3 linked regions of the Oryzias latipes genome follow. The protein of the gene in region 2 purifies or fractionates together with the protein of the main gene of each other region. This does not show direct contact. Links are inferred from orthologs where the notes say so. Each region holds a gene or a part of one and is shown on either strand. Other genes may lie near its edges.

Region 1 (5,599 bases), on a different chromosome or scaffold from region 2:
GTGTCTGTTTATCTGTTTAAAGGTATTGCATTCAAAAGGATTAAAAAAAAAAAAGTCCTGCACTGAGTTGCTCTGCAGGTGTTTGTCAAATGAACAAATGTATTTATTCACATATCATTTCCCACGTGTATGTCTCTGTGAGAGCAGAATGGGTGTTAATATTACAGGAACACCCAGCCTGTGACATCACCGTTTGGCAGGCGGTCAAAAACTCTGGATAAGTCATAATCAGGTGGCCGGCCCATGCGATAAGACTGTGCAACTGCTTTTCTTTAAACCAGCAGAAACAAAATGTTATTTTGTGTTGTTGCGGATAAATTAGATTTTTTTCCCAACACATTACCTTTCCTCCCAGGAGAAGGACGCACCTTTCAGTATCAACAAGCTCATCTGAGCAGGGATTTGAAATGGCCTGAAAGGGCATTTTTCCTCACAGAAATCCACTTTACAGCATCTCACTGAGAAGGGTTCTGGGTTCTCTTTTCTTTAGCTCTGTCATTTCTCTTTTCTTTGTGCTTGTTTTTTGTATATTTTATTATGAGGGGCTTATTTAATTATTTTATTACATGTGTGGGGATTGGTTTTATTGTATTCTTGTTTGTTTTATATGGAAAGCACCTTGAGCTGTCTGTTTGACATGAAAGGTGCTTTATAAATAAAATTAATTTGAAAAAATGGCCGTTCACTGACAGAAAAGTCAGATGCAGCTAACAGTTCTATCCCCTTTTTATTTATGTTCCAAAAATCATTTAACCTTTATTTAAGGGTCAAACTCACATTACCACCTTAACCTATTAGTAAGCTTTGCTGTGAGTGGACTTGAATTGAAATTGTAGAAAATCCTGCCGTTTCTTTTCTTTAATTTGTTTATAAATCATTATTTTTGTTTATGAATATGTTTAAAAATTAAAATACAACAAGATTTGCTTTGATCAAATGAGCTCCTTTATAAAAACCTCGCACACTCCAGCTAATAAAGACAATAATATGAAAGAGAATCAAACCACTGCAAGTAAGATTTAGAAAGTGATAGGTCTCAGAAACTAAACATATTTGGAAGATTTGGCTTTAATGAACCATATTTTGAAAGCAAAAAAAGACACTTGACAGGGCTTTCACTAGTTTTTTTTCTTAGGGAAAGCTTTAAACACTTTTTTCTGGATGTAATCTGTTTTATTTTGTCAAATTTTTCAAAAATTAAAAACCTTTTTAGAAAATGTTTGGAGAAGACACTATGGGTTCCTTTTATATTTAAAACATTGATCCTGCTATAATGTTGCATAAAGAAGTTAAAAAACATTTTAAAGCCATGTTGTGATTGGGAAAGCTGTTTTTATTGTACTGGTTTACAGGAAAACCTTAAACCAGTCTGTGTATAAATAATGATGGGGGTCTAAATAAATGTAGGGTTGAACCTTTAAACAGAAAGCCAATTGAAACACTGTTACTATCTCACGCTGAAAAGTTAACCAATTACAAAGGAGATGGCGATGGAGTGGGCGGGACATCATCTATGATGGATTGCTTTCAGAAGAGAGGTAAACGAATAATTATGAAAGTAATAAAGTAAAAATAAAGCAATTATGGTTTAAAGCTTTATAGGATTAAGATGAAATTCCTTTAACATGGCATTATAGTTTATTCAAATAAAGAGACATTTAGTCAAGAAAAAAATCCCTTATTGCAAAGCAATCTTGGATATTTCAATCTTATCGGTTAGTAAGATCACTAAAACACAGCGGTTGTGCCACCATCAGAGAATTTTCATTTCTGTAGGTTATAAAGTGTATTGGGTCTTTAGGAAGGTGGAAAAGTGCTTTACAAGTATACACCCATCAGCTACCATCAAATTTACAGTAACCTCAAAAAGTACAGCAAAATCATTTGGACTAAGACTCCCTTAACTGCAAAAATAACAAAGGTGCAGCTATTTACAGGTTCTGTGAATCAGTCTCCTTGAAATTATTTTTGGAAATTGACAAATTGTGTTTGTATGCCCTGCTGCTAAAATCAAAAGAACAAACACACAAAAAGCAGGTAGACGTGCTAGTGTGGCTCTAAAGTCTGCGTGCCAGAGCATGCCGAGCAGCTGCTCTGGTCAGAATTTACAGTGGCTTTGGCTCCATGAAGTATTTACGAGCTCCCAAACACCCGCTCTCACACTTCCATGTGTTTTAGCATTGAGAAAGGACAATCCACCCAGAGAATTTACTTTAACATCTCACACACTCATACACACCTTCAGTAAAAGCCTTGGCACAGTTATATGCTGAGCCCAAGGACGACTTCTAACAAGCAACAGCAACTTTAGGTACAGATTTAGCTTATTTAAAAAAAAACAATGCGATTAAATGTTGGAGGCCTTTTCGTTGCAAAAGGTTTCAAATCAGTTTGATCCACCTGATACCACTTGAGCTGAGCATCAAGACAGACCTGATTAGGATTTCACGGGAAGGTGACACATTATCTTGTGGATTCAAAACTGTGCATGCTTTGTCAAATTTGTCATCACCTTTTAGCTGACTTACTTTCTAATGACAGACTTCCTAAGGGAGAGGCCGTCCTCTAGGTCTGCTTCATTGGCCATGAAGAGCAGCCGCTGCCCTGACTGATCCACACCCACAAAGTCTCTCTGCTCCGCTTGAATGCCAGACAAGTCGACAAAAAAGAACGTTAAAAAAAAGTTGCGTTTGTAAAAGGGATTTGTTTGTTTTTTCCTGTTACCTGTCTTTTTCTTGCCCTTCTGCCCCGGGACAGTCTCTGTGAATTCATGGGCTTTGCTCATTAACATGGCTAGTGTTGCATTGTGGGCCCTGAAAAGGTCGACCACCTCATGAAGCGCCACATCCGTTATCAGGTCACAGCTCACAACAAGGATGTCAGTCTGGAGAGAAAGTTTGGAGACAAAAATGTGACGGTTAAGCAATCGTTTATTTACTATGGTGTAAAATATGATTGCATGTCTCAAACAAACAATAAAACTGTTTAATGGAACTCAGGAAAACTGTAAAAAAAAAAAAAAAACACATTAAATAAATTAACAAGTTTATACTAAAGCAGGTTCGGTTATTTTAAGGGGGCCTTAGTGAAAATGTTTACTGCAGAGAGAACAAACTGTTCTATAATCTCTTAAAATAAAGTACAAACTTACATTGATTATACTTTTGCCTGCTTTGTACTATTTTCTGTATTTTAGTTTAAGAGCAGTGCAGTATTATAAATAGTTTATAAAATATTGCTTGTTACTGGTAATGTTTTAAGAAAATTAGCATTAAGGAATCAACAACAAAAAAAAAGAAAAGTTTTAGAATAGATTGATTAAATCAGCATAAAAGTTAAAAACCCAGCAGAATGATTTGTTTAGTTTCTGCAACATTTCAATTATTTACAGTATCTGTAAAAAACAAAACAAAAAACGGTTAAGAAAAAGTAAAACGAATATTTTTCTGCAATCCTGAACTTCAGCTTTAAAACAAACGACTGATATTGTTAAAGTCCCTTTATTGTAAAGATGAATTCTAAGTGGCAAATCCTAATCCAACATACGCAGAAAGTAAAATAAAAACAGACTCTGATCAGTCAATTTAACCGATTTCAATGGAAGCCACATGTCTGCACTTGAGCGTGTGTGCTCCTTGGTGGGCGTGCCCAACATTTGTGTGTCTGCGGTATCCATCTGCCTGTCCAGTGATGAATGCTGTCAGCATAGAAACTAATCCCACCATTAGCGCCAGCAGCTTTAATGACAGAGACATTGTTTTCCTGTGTGTGACAGGAAAGACAGAACCGAATACCACCAGGCAACTCATGAAAAAAGGCAAATACTGAAACAAATGGATGTAAACACATTCTGATATGTGTATCGTAATACAATCTGACTGGGGGGGGGGCAGTTTTTGTCATTTAAACTTAGAGTGAAGTTTCATTTATTAAAGTAAAAGTTTATTAAAGGTAAAATCATTGCAACGATTCACGTTACCCATGATTCACTTCAAACTTGATCTTTAGGTCACAGTTTGTGTATTTCAGAGCAGCAACAACACCAACAACAAAAAACGAAAATATTCAGAAAACATTCTTTTTAAAATTTGCTTATAAGCAAGTAACAACAAAGAAAAACCTTTTAGTTGGCTTATTCTAAGCCTGGTTTAATAAAATAAAACAATAAATAATAAATCCTTCTTACACACTTGTTTGAAATTTTCCTCGTAAACGTTCTGGTAAGGATGCAACCATTCACATTCCCCACGACTGGGTTCAATGGTGTAACTTTACACAGAAAATTGTGGCATCCCTTGTTTGTATGTAGCATCACATGCAAGAGATAAGCTCCTTTTTTAGTCTTCGACATTTTGAAATGAAAACGGAATGATGGAGGCAACTACCGAGAGGTAAAACTTCTGGTTTTCAAAGAAATGCAGATTACTAAATAAATGTCTGTAATTTGATTAATGAAAACTCGGCTCTTATTCTGTGCGCGTAAAAGGGAGAACTGAGAGAGACGGCGAAGGGTCGCCAAGTTGACCTCAATTTAAATCCAACCTTAACCTGCTGTTGGCGACAGAACGCTGGACGTGTCTGCAGGACATCAACTGACACAGAGACTCAGGTTTTTCAGCTTCCCTGACAAGCGTGCACACATGTTCAGAAACAAGAGCGCACAAAGCTACGTGTGACTCCGTGCACAAACACATGTACACACAGACATCAATGGACACAAATGTGCTTGTATATAGGCCACACACAGGCGACAGCAGAGTGGAGTCAGCTGGAGAGACAGAGACACTTTGGCCTTTCAACAGCCAGGATCAGTGGACAGGTCAGGACCACACACACTGATGCTCACACACACACACACACACAACAACAAAAAGAGAGTCACATACTTGTCCAAATGGTGACCAATTTCAGCCACAAACTCCTAACAAATTACACAATTTTATAAACTTTGATGTTTTCTTCTCTTAAAGCTTTTTTTCTATATTGTTTTCCCCAAAACTGCCCAATTTTAAGGCCTTTAATTGTTTGCCCCGTAACCCTTCCTGCATTGATAACAGTAGCAACTCCCAAAATGTATATTTTTAATCATTAATCCTCATTTACAATCGCTGCAGAAGCGATTTTATGTTAATGCTTCAACCATATAGTACCTGGGTTTGTCTTCTTATACTGTGCCTTAGCAGGTTAACAAAAAAAGAATAAGAGACAACAGATGGATGGTTAATGCAACATAAGCTTAATAAAAGAAAAAAAAAGAAAAAGATGGAAAGAAATAAGTTGAGTCTTGTATGTTTGTCGAGTTCCTCCCATGAAAATCCTCCGCTTTGTCTCCCAAGCCGTTCTTTATTCCTTGCTACTCTAAAGTTTTACTAGCAGACTAACATGTCTTTGCTACAGATGAACCTCTGAATCAGAGCATATAGAGAAAAGTTTGTTTTGTTGGCTTATGCCGACTCATTTTACCAGGTGGTTAGGCGGGAAAAATAATGGAAATGTCAAAAGGCTTGAAGCATGCGAAGCACAAAGTGCTTGCAAAGACCTCCTTTCACTAGTTGAGCTTATTGTGAAAGATCGGAGCATTAATCAGTGCATCCGTCTG
Region 2 (3,776 bases):
CTCTCAGTCTGACTGCCTTTGATTTTTCCGGAAGAAAAAAAACAGTGCCCCCTACTGGTCGTGGTATCAATTCGGTGTCTCTGAGAATAATATACTTTTAACATATATATTAGCGTTTAAAAGTGAACGTCATATTCTCAGATAATAATTTTTATTTTCCTTTAAAGTTTTTTAAAGCCCTGCTACACCCACTGAAGGAAAAACGTTTAGAAGGGAAGGCTGATAAGAAAATTCTAATGACCGAGCATTCCACTGGTATTCAAACGCAGCACTTACGGATACGTTTGTGAGACGTGAAAACAGTCTCATGGTAGATCCGTGCGTAACTTTGGCTTCGTGTGTGCGTAACAAGGGATTCGTGCGTGTTTTTTAAAGATGTGTGTGTGTAAGTAGTTTCAAGCTGTTGTAATCTTAATTTGTGCATACGTAAATTGCATTTTGCATATTTTTCATTTTATGTTTTTTTGAACTTATACACAAAACGTATTATGTGAGTAACAAATCACGCACAAATCCAAATTTATGCACAAATCCAAATTTACAAACGCACAAAGCAAGAATTACGCACGCACAAATCCGACTGAGTCTAATTTCTCTCCATACAGGTAGAGCAGGTCGTCCAACAACCAAAGGGTTGCGGCTAATCTGCAGCCCAGACTTTGGCCCCGCCCAGCGTATTTTCTACATCCTAAGTGGAATCTTTTTCAAACTGCATTTTTTCATCTGCTTCTGCTTCACGATTAGAGAAATACTCAGAAATGCAGTTTTAAGCTGAATTTTCTTTATGTCCTCCATCATCAGAAAAAAGCCACAAGATGTTAAAAACCCCAAAAAACAAAGTTTTTCTCAGCCTGGGCTTTAAACGGGGAGAGAAGACGGTGCATTCAGGGTCATCACGGCCGTTTGGGCAAATCAGAAGTTTACATTTTTCCTTGAACAGAAATGTAAAGAAACCAAATCCTTTGTGTCATTAAAACTTTATTTTCATGAAATTACAACTTCATTTTTAAAAAATGTTATTCTATTCATCTTTCTTTTATTACTTTACCTTCATAAATACACAACTTTACTCACAGTTTTATGACCATTTTAAAAATTGTTTGACCTTTTTTACCTTTAATTTTACAACTTTGTTCTCCAAATGTTCCGAACTTCTTTTTTTTTTCTGTATTTTTTTGTGTGGCGCTTTGAACCTGGATGGTCGTTTCCTGCTGCCTGTGGTGGCACTGGCGTTCTGCGGTGGCGCTGGCGTTCTGCGGTGGCGCTGGCGTTCTGCGGTGGCGCTGGTGTTCTGCGGTGGCGCTGGTGTTCTGCGGTGGCGCTGGTCTCTGGCTGAAACGGCTGTTTTCTCGTTGGTCCTCAGGATTTGTCCCGCTGTAAAAAGGTGATGGAGGAGAGAGGAGAGCTCTTTCTGGAGAAGATCTCCATGTCCAGGAATAAAGTGGCCAAGCTGTGTCACACCTTCATCAAAGACGGCGCCGTGAGTTCCCGCCGCTCCCTCTTGGCGCTCGCCGTCCTGCCGCTCTCTCATTCTTCTGCTGATGATCCTCAGAAAATCCTGACCCACTCCTTCTCCCGAGTGGTGCTGCGGGTTCTGGAGAAAGCCGCCATGGAGAAGAAGCGTTTCTCCGTCTACGTGACCGAGTCTCAGCCCGACGCCGCCGGGTGAGTGTGCACGCGCGTGCGCACGTTTTTGTGCTGCAGAGACAGCCTCACTTCCTCCTCTTCCTCTCAGGCAGCAGATGGCGGCGGAGCTGGCGAAGCTCCACGTCCCGGTGACCGTGGTCCTGGACGCCGCTGTGGGGTGAAGCCTGCTCGGTTACAGACGTTTTTTCCCATCATGCACCGCGTCCTCCTCAATGCTCTGCTGTTCTCAGGTACGTCCTGGAGAAGGTGGATCTGGTCATCGTTGGAGCAGAGGGGGTGGTGGAGAGCGGCGGCATCATCAACAAGGTGAGGCGTGGAAGGGGCGGAGTCTCTGAGGTGGGTTTGGACCTAAACTGCAAACCTATTCAGACTGTGGAGTTCAGAAACAGTGAACATGTGGTTCGCTCTTCGACTGCAGGCGGACGGGCGGAAACTCCTCCGTCACCGTCTGATGAATCCTGAACTGGCGTGTTTTTAACCGCATGTGGAGCTGCGTTAGAAACACGCCTGAAAAGTTTCTTTAGTCGCCAAAATCGTCCTAGAGAAACAGCTAAACTCAAAGTGTTCTTTGGTCAGTGCATCCTTCATTCAGATATTTATAACTAAAACATAAAAATAAAGACGTGTCATTAGTTTACAGTGACTCAAAGAGACAACTTAAAGTTTTTTATTGTTTCTGTTAAAAGGAAATCTGACAATACTCAGATCTAAAAAGTACCAACAATGATGGAAATGCCTGGACAGCTGGGTGAATAAATCAAGCGTACCTTTGCAGGTAAAGGGTTCAGTTAACCCTTGTGCTATCCTAGGCACTTTAACGTTGGGAGTTGGGTCATCTAGACCCACTAGACAGTGGGGTCATCTAGACCCACTAGACAGTGCTCTGAACCTTTTTTCTTCAATGATTGGTGATCTTCTCTGGTGTCCATGGATTACATGAAATCTTTCCACCTTTATCCACCTTTGTCATGGTAGGGAGAACACGTCAAAGTAAGGGTGGGGTCATCTAAGATAGCACAAGGGGTAAAGGTTTTGTTTCATCAAACGAGCTTTATGGGAAAAATAGATTCAGACTTTTTCAGAATCAGTTAAAAAATCTTTTTATTCAAATTATTTTGATAGAAAACAGCAGATTTAATCATTGTTTTATCAGATACCAGTTTAGTTTTGAGAATGGAGACTCTTTTCAGTCAGACGGGACGTGGTGGCGGGACGTTTGCCCTCAATGACCTCGGCGCGTCTGTCCTTTCAGATCGGGACCTATCAGATGGCGCTCTGCTCCAAAGCTCACAACAAGCCCTTCTACGTGGTGGCGGAGAGCTTTAAGTTTGTGCGGCTGTACCCGCTGAACCAGCAGGACGTCCCGGACAAGTTCAAGGTCAGACCTCCTCTGACGGCGTTCCTGGATGGGCGAGCCCCGCCCTCACGTCTGTTTCTGCTCCGCAGTACAAAGCCGACACCCTGAAGAAGAGGCAGAACCTGTCGGAGGAGCACCCCGTCATCGACTACACGCCCCCCTCCCTCATCACCCTCCTGTTCACGGACCTGGGCGTCCTCACGCCGTCCGCCGTCAGCGACGAACTCATCAAATTATATCTATAAATGTCAATAAAGCGGTTCAGAGAGGGGCCTCTGCGTCCCGTTTGCTCTTCGGCCCGTCGGTCAGCTGCTGCTCGAAGTCTTCCTCACTGATCCGGCCTTTCTTCAGCTTCTTCAGGAGGCGCGTGTCGTTCAGGAGCTCCAGCGCCTCCTCCTCATCATCATTGCCCTGCAGAGAAGGAGGAGCTTAAACCGTCGGTCCTCGCAGAGACGGCCTCCAGCCGTCAGCGCTCACCTCTTCGTGCTTCCTCTTCACTGCCCTCCTCTTCCTCCGCTCCTTCTTGCTCTTCTGTTTGGACCAGGCTTTGTTCTTGGCGAAGTTCTTCTTGGGCGGCGCCGGCCCGTCTCGGTCCTTCTGCTCTGCCAGCGTCTTCTGCCTCTGCTTCTCCCTGTTCTTGTCCTTGTACGGGATGGCGTCCGTGTCCACCGCCGCCTCAGGGAAATCTGGGAAGGTCTTCCCCCTCAGCTCCGGCATCTTCGGGAGCCGGAGGAGCCCGAAGCCGCGCGCCAAGGCGGCGAAGTCCAGATCT
Region 3 (5,455 bases), on a different chromosome or scaffold from region 2:
TTTCAAAATAAAAACTATAAAGAATTTTTAGCTCACTGTCTAAAAGTTTGTTTGTTTTTTCCAGGATAGAAAAGACGACCAACAAGACGGAGACCAACAACTTTGTGCCTTTCAGCCTTGTTAGCTCTGAATCCTACATTCCTGATGTTTATGTCAAAGTTCAAGATCCTCTGGAGGCCTCAAGTGGTATCCTGGAGACCGTTCACCACAGAATTAGACGTGCCGAGGAGGGATTGGTGGAGATAGCTGTGCAGGGTCTGACGGGTGAGAAACCTGTGGCGCTGGAGGAGGTGGAGAAGCTGCTTCGTGTGGGGACCACTGTGACAGGCTTTGGAGAGCTGGTGCTGGAAGGGGATCAGGTGATAAGGCTGCAGGCCCCAAAGGACGGCCGCAAGTATTTCCTGACGCCCACCGACCACAAAGGCTTCATCGGCCAACACGAGGGAGTTGCTAAGATGTGGCAGTCATTGTCTGCCATAACGGGGATCACAGGTGCCGCCATCCTCACTACTGTTGTGTACAGTTACTTTGAAAAGAAGGATGACAGGTCCGAATAGGCTTGAGGATGCAGAGGTGTCCAACCTGCCCAGGTGTTTTTTTTTGCTTTATTGAAAACCTGCCCAGGTGGTGCCACAGCTAGCGCTGCTTCAGGGGTCCACTGCACATTCCTGATGCTAAACTAATGCATTTGTATTTTAATTGAATATTTTTCCCCATAAAGTGTCCTGTTTGACAGGGCACATGAAAATGCACACATTACAAAACCTTCCAAAAAGCATTCCATGAAATTATAAATATAGAAAAAACCAAATGAGCTGGAAATTTAATTCCAATTTACAAGAGAATTTTTTAAAATTTGTTTAATCAGAAATTGTCTAAAAATATCTGTATGAAACATTGAGTCATTCCTTTACTGGTCTGGATTACTTGTCCAAAAATTATCATCTAATATAAATATAATTTAATAATTTGAAATAAAATGTGAACAAACTCACACCCAAAAGGACCAAATGGGAATATAGCAAGCATCTATAAAATAAAATGCATACTTGTTCCTCAATTTAGAACATAAAATGAGTCAATATAAAACTAATTACAAATTTTAACTTGACGTCTGTAGTTCCAAAATAAGATATTTTATTAGTTTTAACGTATTTTGTTTTTCTAGCTGCTGAATTCTGTGGGTGTTACAATCTCTTTTTCTTTTACCTTGGATTATTTTCATTTAATCTTACTTGAAACAGATGTATGAGGGATGAGCGGTGTTTTCTGATTTTAGGGTGAAACTTGTTCCGTGTCAAACATTCTCTTATGGTTTTTATAAATGTATCTCTTGTGTTTGAGCCAACATTTTCTGAAGGTCCAACTCGTTTGCAGTAGGTGATGACTAAATAAAGCAACAGCTTGATCCTGATGCATTTTGTGTTGAGAAATAAATGAAACATGCAGGCTTCTGCAGGCAAAGGGAAGTTTTTTATTCCATTTGGACAGTTGCTGCAAACAGTCCTCAGATGCTGCGACATCTCCTTCAACCGGATGCCTGCTTCACCTACAAAGTCTCAGGTGTATTTACAGAAATGATTTGTACTCAGTTCATCACTCGCCGTCCTCTTCGGAAAACTCCTCAGCCTCTTCCAACCACTGGATGAACTTCTGAAGCTGTAGTGAAACACAAAACAAAAGCATAAAGCTCTAAAATAAGCCTACGTTTTAAGTTTACTTCTTTCTTAAATTATTGGTTTTAAAATGGATTTATGTCCTCCATCCTAATGACCAACAGGTTGAACTCACGCTCTACATTCTTTTTTTCAAGCCACTTAATTAAGGACTTGCAAAGTTTTTCTTCTCCAGATCCAAAAATAAATCCCGTAACTTTAAAAATCTAAGGTGAACGTCTGCAATGGTAGCAACTGTTCTGCCAAAAATGGCAAATATTTTCCTCTTCCATAAGTTAACTTAAATGTTTTTTAGGATAAGCGGAAAACCAAGCTGAAATGAAATAACTTGTTCTGCTTAGTGTCAATTTAACCTTTAGTTTTTCATAAAATCGATTAATGTTAATACCTTTTTCCCTGCACAAACCTTAAGTGGTAAAAATATATATGCAAAATGAAATGAAATGTGACTAAGCTATACCAAAACTATGATAATTAATACAGAGTATGAGAGCAACCACCAGAAGAAATGATACCATTTAAATCATAAACTAGCCCATATTCTGAGGATGTGGTTAAAAAGAAAACAGCTGAATAATTTAAACCAGAAAATTGTAAAAATAAAAAAAAACCCAGCAGCACCCACCCCCGGGTTTTTGCGGAGCTGTTTGCTTTTGTCTGTGGTGGCTCCTTGTGAGAACCATCGCAGTATCGTCTCCTCCTCCAGGATTTCCAGCTCGTACATGTTCATCAGCACCTGATTGACAGACGACAGCCTCAGACACGCCAAAACAACCACAATCAGCCAGCTTTCCACACTTTATAGTAACTGCTGGTGGCTCACCTTAACCATCGCCGCCCAGTGGCTCTCCTGTTCCCAGAAATGCTCCTCAAACGCAGACAAACAGTCCAAGTGGTCCTGAGCTCTCTTCACGTAGTTTTTGAACACCGGAGCCCATTTCTTCAATAACTGAAAACAGAAAAAAATCATAATCAGCTACAGTCACCTCTAAAGAAATGGGATGGAATGGGAAAGCTGCTTCACCGGTAGGAGGAGTTTGACATATTGGGACGGGGTGAGCTGTGGGCCCTGCTGCTGGAAGGGGTACTCCAGCACCACTTTGGTTAAGATCTGCATCACCTCCTTCAGAGTGATATTGTAGGCATACCTATAGAGGAACAATGAGCTCCAGTGAACAAAGATGTAAAAAAAAGAGCATCAAAACTGCAAGAAGGCTCAGATTTACTTGAGAGAATTTATCTCCAGGACAAGATTGTCACAGCTGATGTTCTCCTCCAAACCTCTCTGCAGGGTCCCAAGCACCTCCAACTGGAAAACTAAACAAAATTATGCAATTCTTTAACTGTTTGGATCAATCTTCCAAAATTTAAGAAATATATTTCTGTCATAAAAAGCCCTGAGAGCTTTTTTTTGTTTGACCAGTAGGGGGCAGTCATGCAGGGCGAACATTAGGAGTGCTCACCTTTGACATCATCCATCTCAGGAGAGGGAATTACTGGGTCATCAGGACCGTCAGGCTCGCTGTCCTCACTGTCGCTCTCAGGATCCGGCTTCAATACCAAACCTGCTCAACATGAGGCAAAGAATTTAAAACAATAACACTCAATAAAGACTGGAGAGCTTTGAAACAGATTCCTACCCCATAGACAATGTGACAGCTCCTCCTCCTCCGTGTCATCCAGACTGCTGGCTCTCCAAATGTAACCTTTTCCTTCTGCCCCAACTTCTGCTGGGTTAAAAACTACAGAAAAGAAGCACCAAGTCATCTCCTAAAACAATGAAGGAGTAACAGGTGATTTCACATCACTTCAGGCCAGCACGCACCTTTCTGCTTGGTTTTGTCTTTGCCTTGGTCAACTTGAGCGTCATCGCTGAGGAACTCATCATCGTCCTCCTCCTCTTCCTCCTCTGGATGATGCATCGACACCACGGTACCCTCTGGCAGAGAAACGTTGGGTCCAATCACCACCTGGAGACAGAGTTCACGTGAATACAAAAAACCTACAGAGAAAACAAAGTTTGGGCCTCGTTTTAAAAAAAACAGAAAACTGGAAATTGATCCAAAAGGGCAGAAAAAAATCAAAAGTTTTTACATCTGCAGCTAGATTTGCTCTCCCAAAAGGTGCTGAAGAAGAGCCACGGACTGCATGAATGAAAGATAAAGTCCGTTTTGACGGTAATTTTGTCTCATTATGCTCCAATCTTTCTGAAAACAGGTACATTTGCATGTCGTTGATATGGAAGCTACAGTCCCATGTCAATCAAAAGACCACACCCTCATTTTAGCACAACTTTTCCTTGGAGAAATAGTCACTTTCAATGAGTGACGTCACACTCACAGTTGTCTTATACAGTCAGTGATGTGAACACAACCATTACACTTCAAATAAGTATAATTCAGTCAAAATCATCTCAGATTTTTAACTCACTCACTAAAGGTGAACAAAAAGAGTAAGCTGTTTAACCTTAAAGTAAGAAGAAACAGACAAAAGTTTTAGCAAGTAATGTAAGCAGTTACACAGCCAGTTGTGTTGGCTTCAGGGATGCACAGTAAAAACACGCCAACACCAGTTCTGGTGAATAATTGCGTTAACGAATTGCACTTCATGCTCAAAGTTGTTTGGTCCACACCAGAGCATGTGAGCCAACAAGAGAAGATTTTGATAGCAGCTGTGTGCGTTTCTTACGTTGTAAGCCAGGACGCACTGTTTATCGAGAGTCACACCCTGTTTGACCTGGACCTTATCGCAGACCACAGACTGACGGATCACCACATTACTCGCAATGTGGACGTCGTTCCAGATGTACGCGTGGTCTAGGATCACGTTGTCTCCTGTTGCAGGAAAAGACGAAACATTTCAGAGGATCAGACAGGCTTTGAAGCGCCGTTGGGTTAACCTGTCAGCGAGCTCACCTATAGTGCAGTTGTTGCCGATGACGCTGTTGGAGATGGAACAGTTGGCGCCGATGCTTGTGTCTCGGTCGATGAGCACGTTCTCTTCCATCTGGCTGCCGTGCCCCAGGCTGACCCCAGAGCCCCGGTACACGTTGTGCCGAGAGTATGTGCAGATCTGCCCTTCCCGGTCGGTGAAGTTGGACTCAGGGGTGAGGGGGTAAACCCATCGGCGCACAAAGTCCGACGACACCGAATCATACATGAGCAGGTTGGACACACGCACGCCGTAGCCATCCGTGGTGACGTGCATATGGATCTGGTTGCCCAGAATCTGAATAGAAACAGTGAATTACTGTCACATGCAGAAGGACCAAAGACGGAAATGAAAGTACCACTCCGATCATCCTTTGATCTATTAAGTCTTCCTAGTGATTTTTTAATTATGATTATGCCGTTTTTGACTAAATCAAAATAACTATGCCAGCTCGGACTAGGAAAACTGTGAGGTAGATGGATCTAGTCGTCCACAAGAAGATGCATCAGAATAAGGCGGAGCAGGGAGCTTGTGGCCCGCCGATTGTAGCCGATCTACATCACAACTACCGTATTTTCCGGACTATAAGTCGCCCTTTTTTCATAGTTTGGCAAGGGGTGCGACTTATACTCCGCAGCGACTTATATTAGAAATAAATTGAAATAAATACATTGTTAACCCTCCTGTTATGTTCATTTGTGAGGAACAGAGATGATGTTCCTGGGTCAATTTGATGTATGAAGTATGTTAAGTGTTAAGAGTATGTTAAGTGACTCAGAGAATCAGCAAACTTTTTTTACAGTAAGATCTTGAAGGCTAACAACATAATATTCTATTTTCCAATGATT

Evidence for each region. The genes of interacting proteins can lie anywhere in the genome.
Region 1: the proteins of eif2b1 (region 2) and eif2b3 purify together in Homo sapiens (affinity purification with mass spectrometry; 7 studies listed by BioGRID and IntAct, counting the BioPlex papers as one, with this or other methods). This does not show direct contact. The link is inferred for Oryzias latipes from reciprocal best matches to the Homo sapiens genes EIF2B1 and EIF2B3.
Region 3: the proteins of eif2b1 (region 2) and eif2b5 purify together in Homo sapiens (affinity purification with mass spectrometry; 7 studies listed by BioGRID and IntAct, counting the BioPlex papers as one, with this or other methods). This does not show direct contact. The link is inferred for Oryzias latipes from reciprocal best matches to the Homo sapiens genes EIF2B1 and EIF2B5.

What each region holds. Positions count from the first base shown.
Region 1 is NC_019875.2:24,327,211-24,332,809, forward strand, and holds part of eif2b3 (translation initiation factor eIF-2B subunit gamma), read right to left. Parts: intron 2,885-5,599; coding exon 2,725-2,884; intron 2,641-2,724; coding exon 2,529-2,640; intron 1-2,528. UniProt on the Homo sapiens protein: Acts as a component of the translation initiation factor 2B (eIF2B) complex, which catalyzes the exchange of GDP for GTP on the eukaryotic initiation factor 2 (eIF2) complex gamma subunit.
Region 2 is NC_019870.2:1,221,444-1,225,219, forward strand, and holds the end of eif2b1 (translation initiation factor eIF-2B subunit alpha), read left to right. Parts: intron 1-1,363; coding exon 1,364-1,480; intron 1,481-1,552; coding exon 1,553-1,665; intron 1,666-1,735; coding exon 1,736-1,804; intron 1,805-1,877; coding exon 1,878-1,953; intron 1,954-2,731; exon of another isoform or gene 2,732-2,899; coding exon 2,900-3,025; exon of another isoform or gene 3,026-3,093; coding exon 3,094-3,249; 3' UTR 3,250-3,265; downstream 3,266-3,776. Other genes in the region: ATP-dependent RNA helicase DDX55, read right to left, coding at 3,266-3,415, 3,482-3,774.
Region 3 is NC_019875.2:17,623,480-17,628,934, forward strand, and holds the end of eif2b5 (translation initiation factor eIF-2B subunit epsilon), read right to left. Parts: intron 4,905-5,455; coding exon 4,592-4,904; intron 4,511-4,591; coding exon 4,365-4,510; intron 3,647-4,364; coding exon 3,502-3,646; intron 3,419-3,501; coding exon 3,317-3,418; intron 3,242-3,316; coding exon 3,140-3,241; intron 2,994-3,139; coding exon 2,903-2,993; intron 2,825-2,902; coding exon 2,701-2,824; intron 2,626-2,700; coding exon 2,500-2,625; intron 2,413-2,499; coding exon 2,302-2,412; intron 1,660-2,301; coding exon 1,597-1,659; 3' UTR 1,483-1,596; downstream 1-1,482. Other genes in the region: mitochondrial ubiquitin ligase activator of nfkb 1-A, read left to right, coding at 65-557. UniProt on the Homo sapiens protein: Acts as a component of the translation initiation factor 2B (eIF2B) complex, which catalyzes the exchange of GDP for GTP on eukaryotic initiation factor 2 (eIF2) gamma subunit.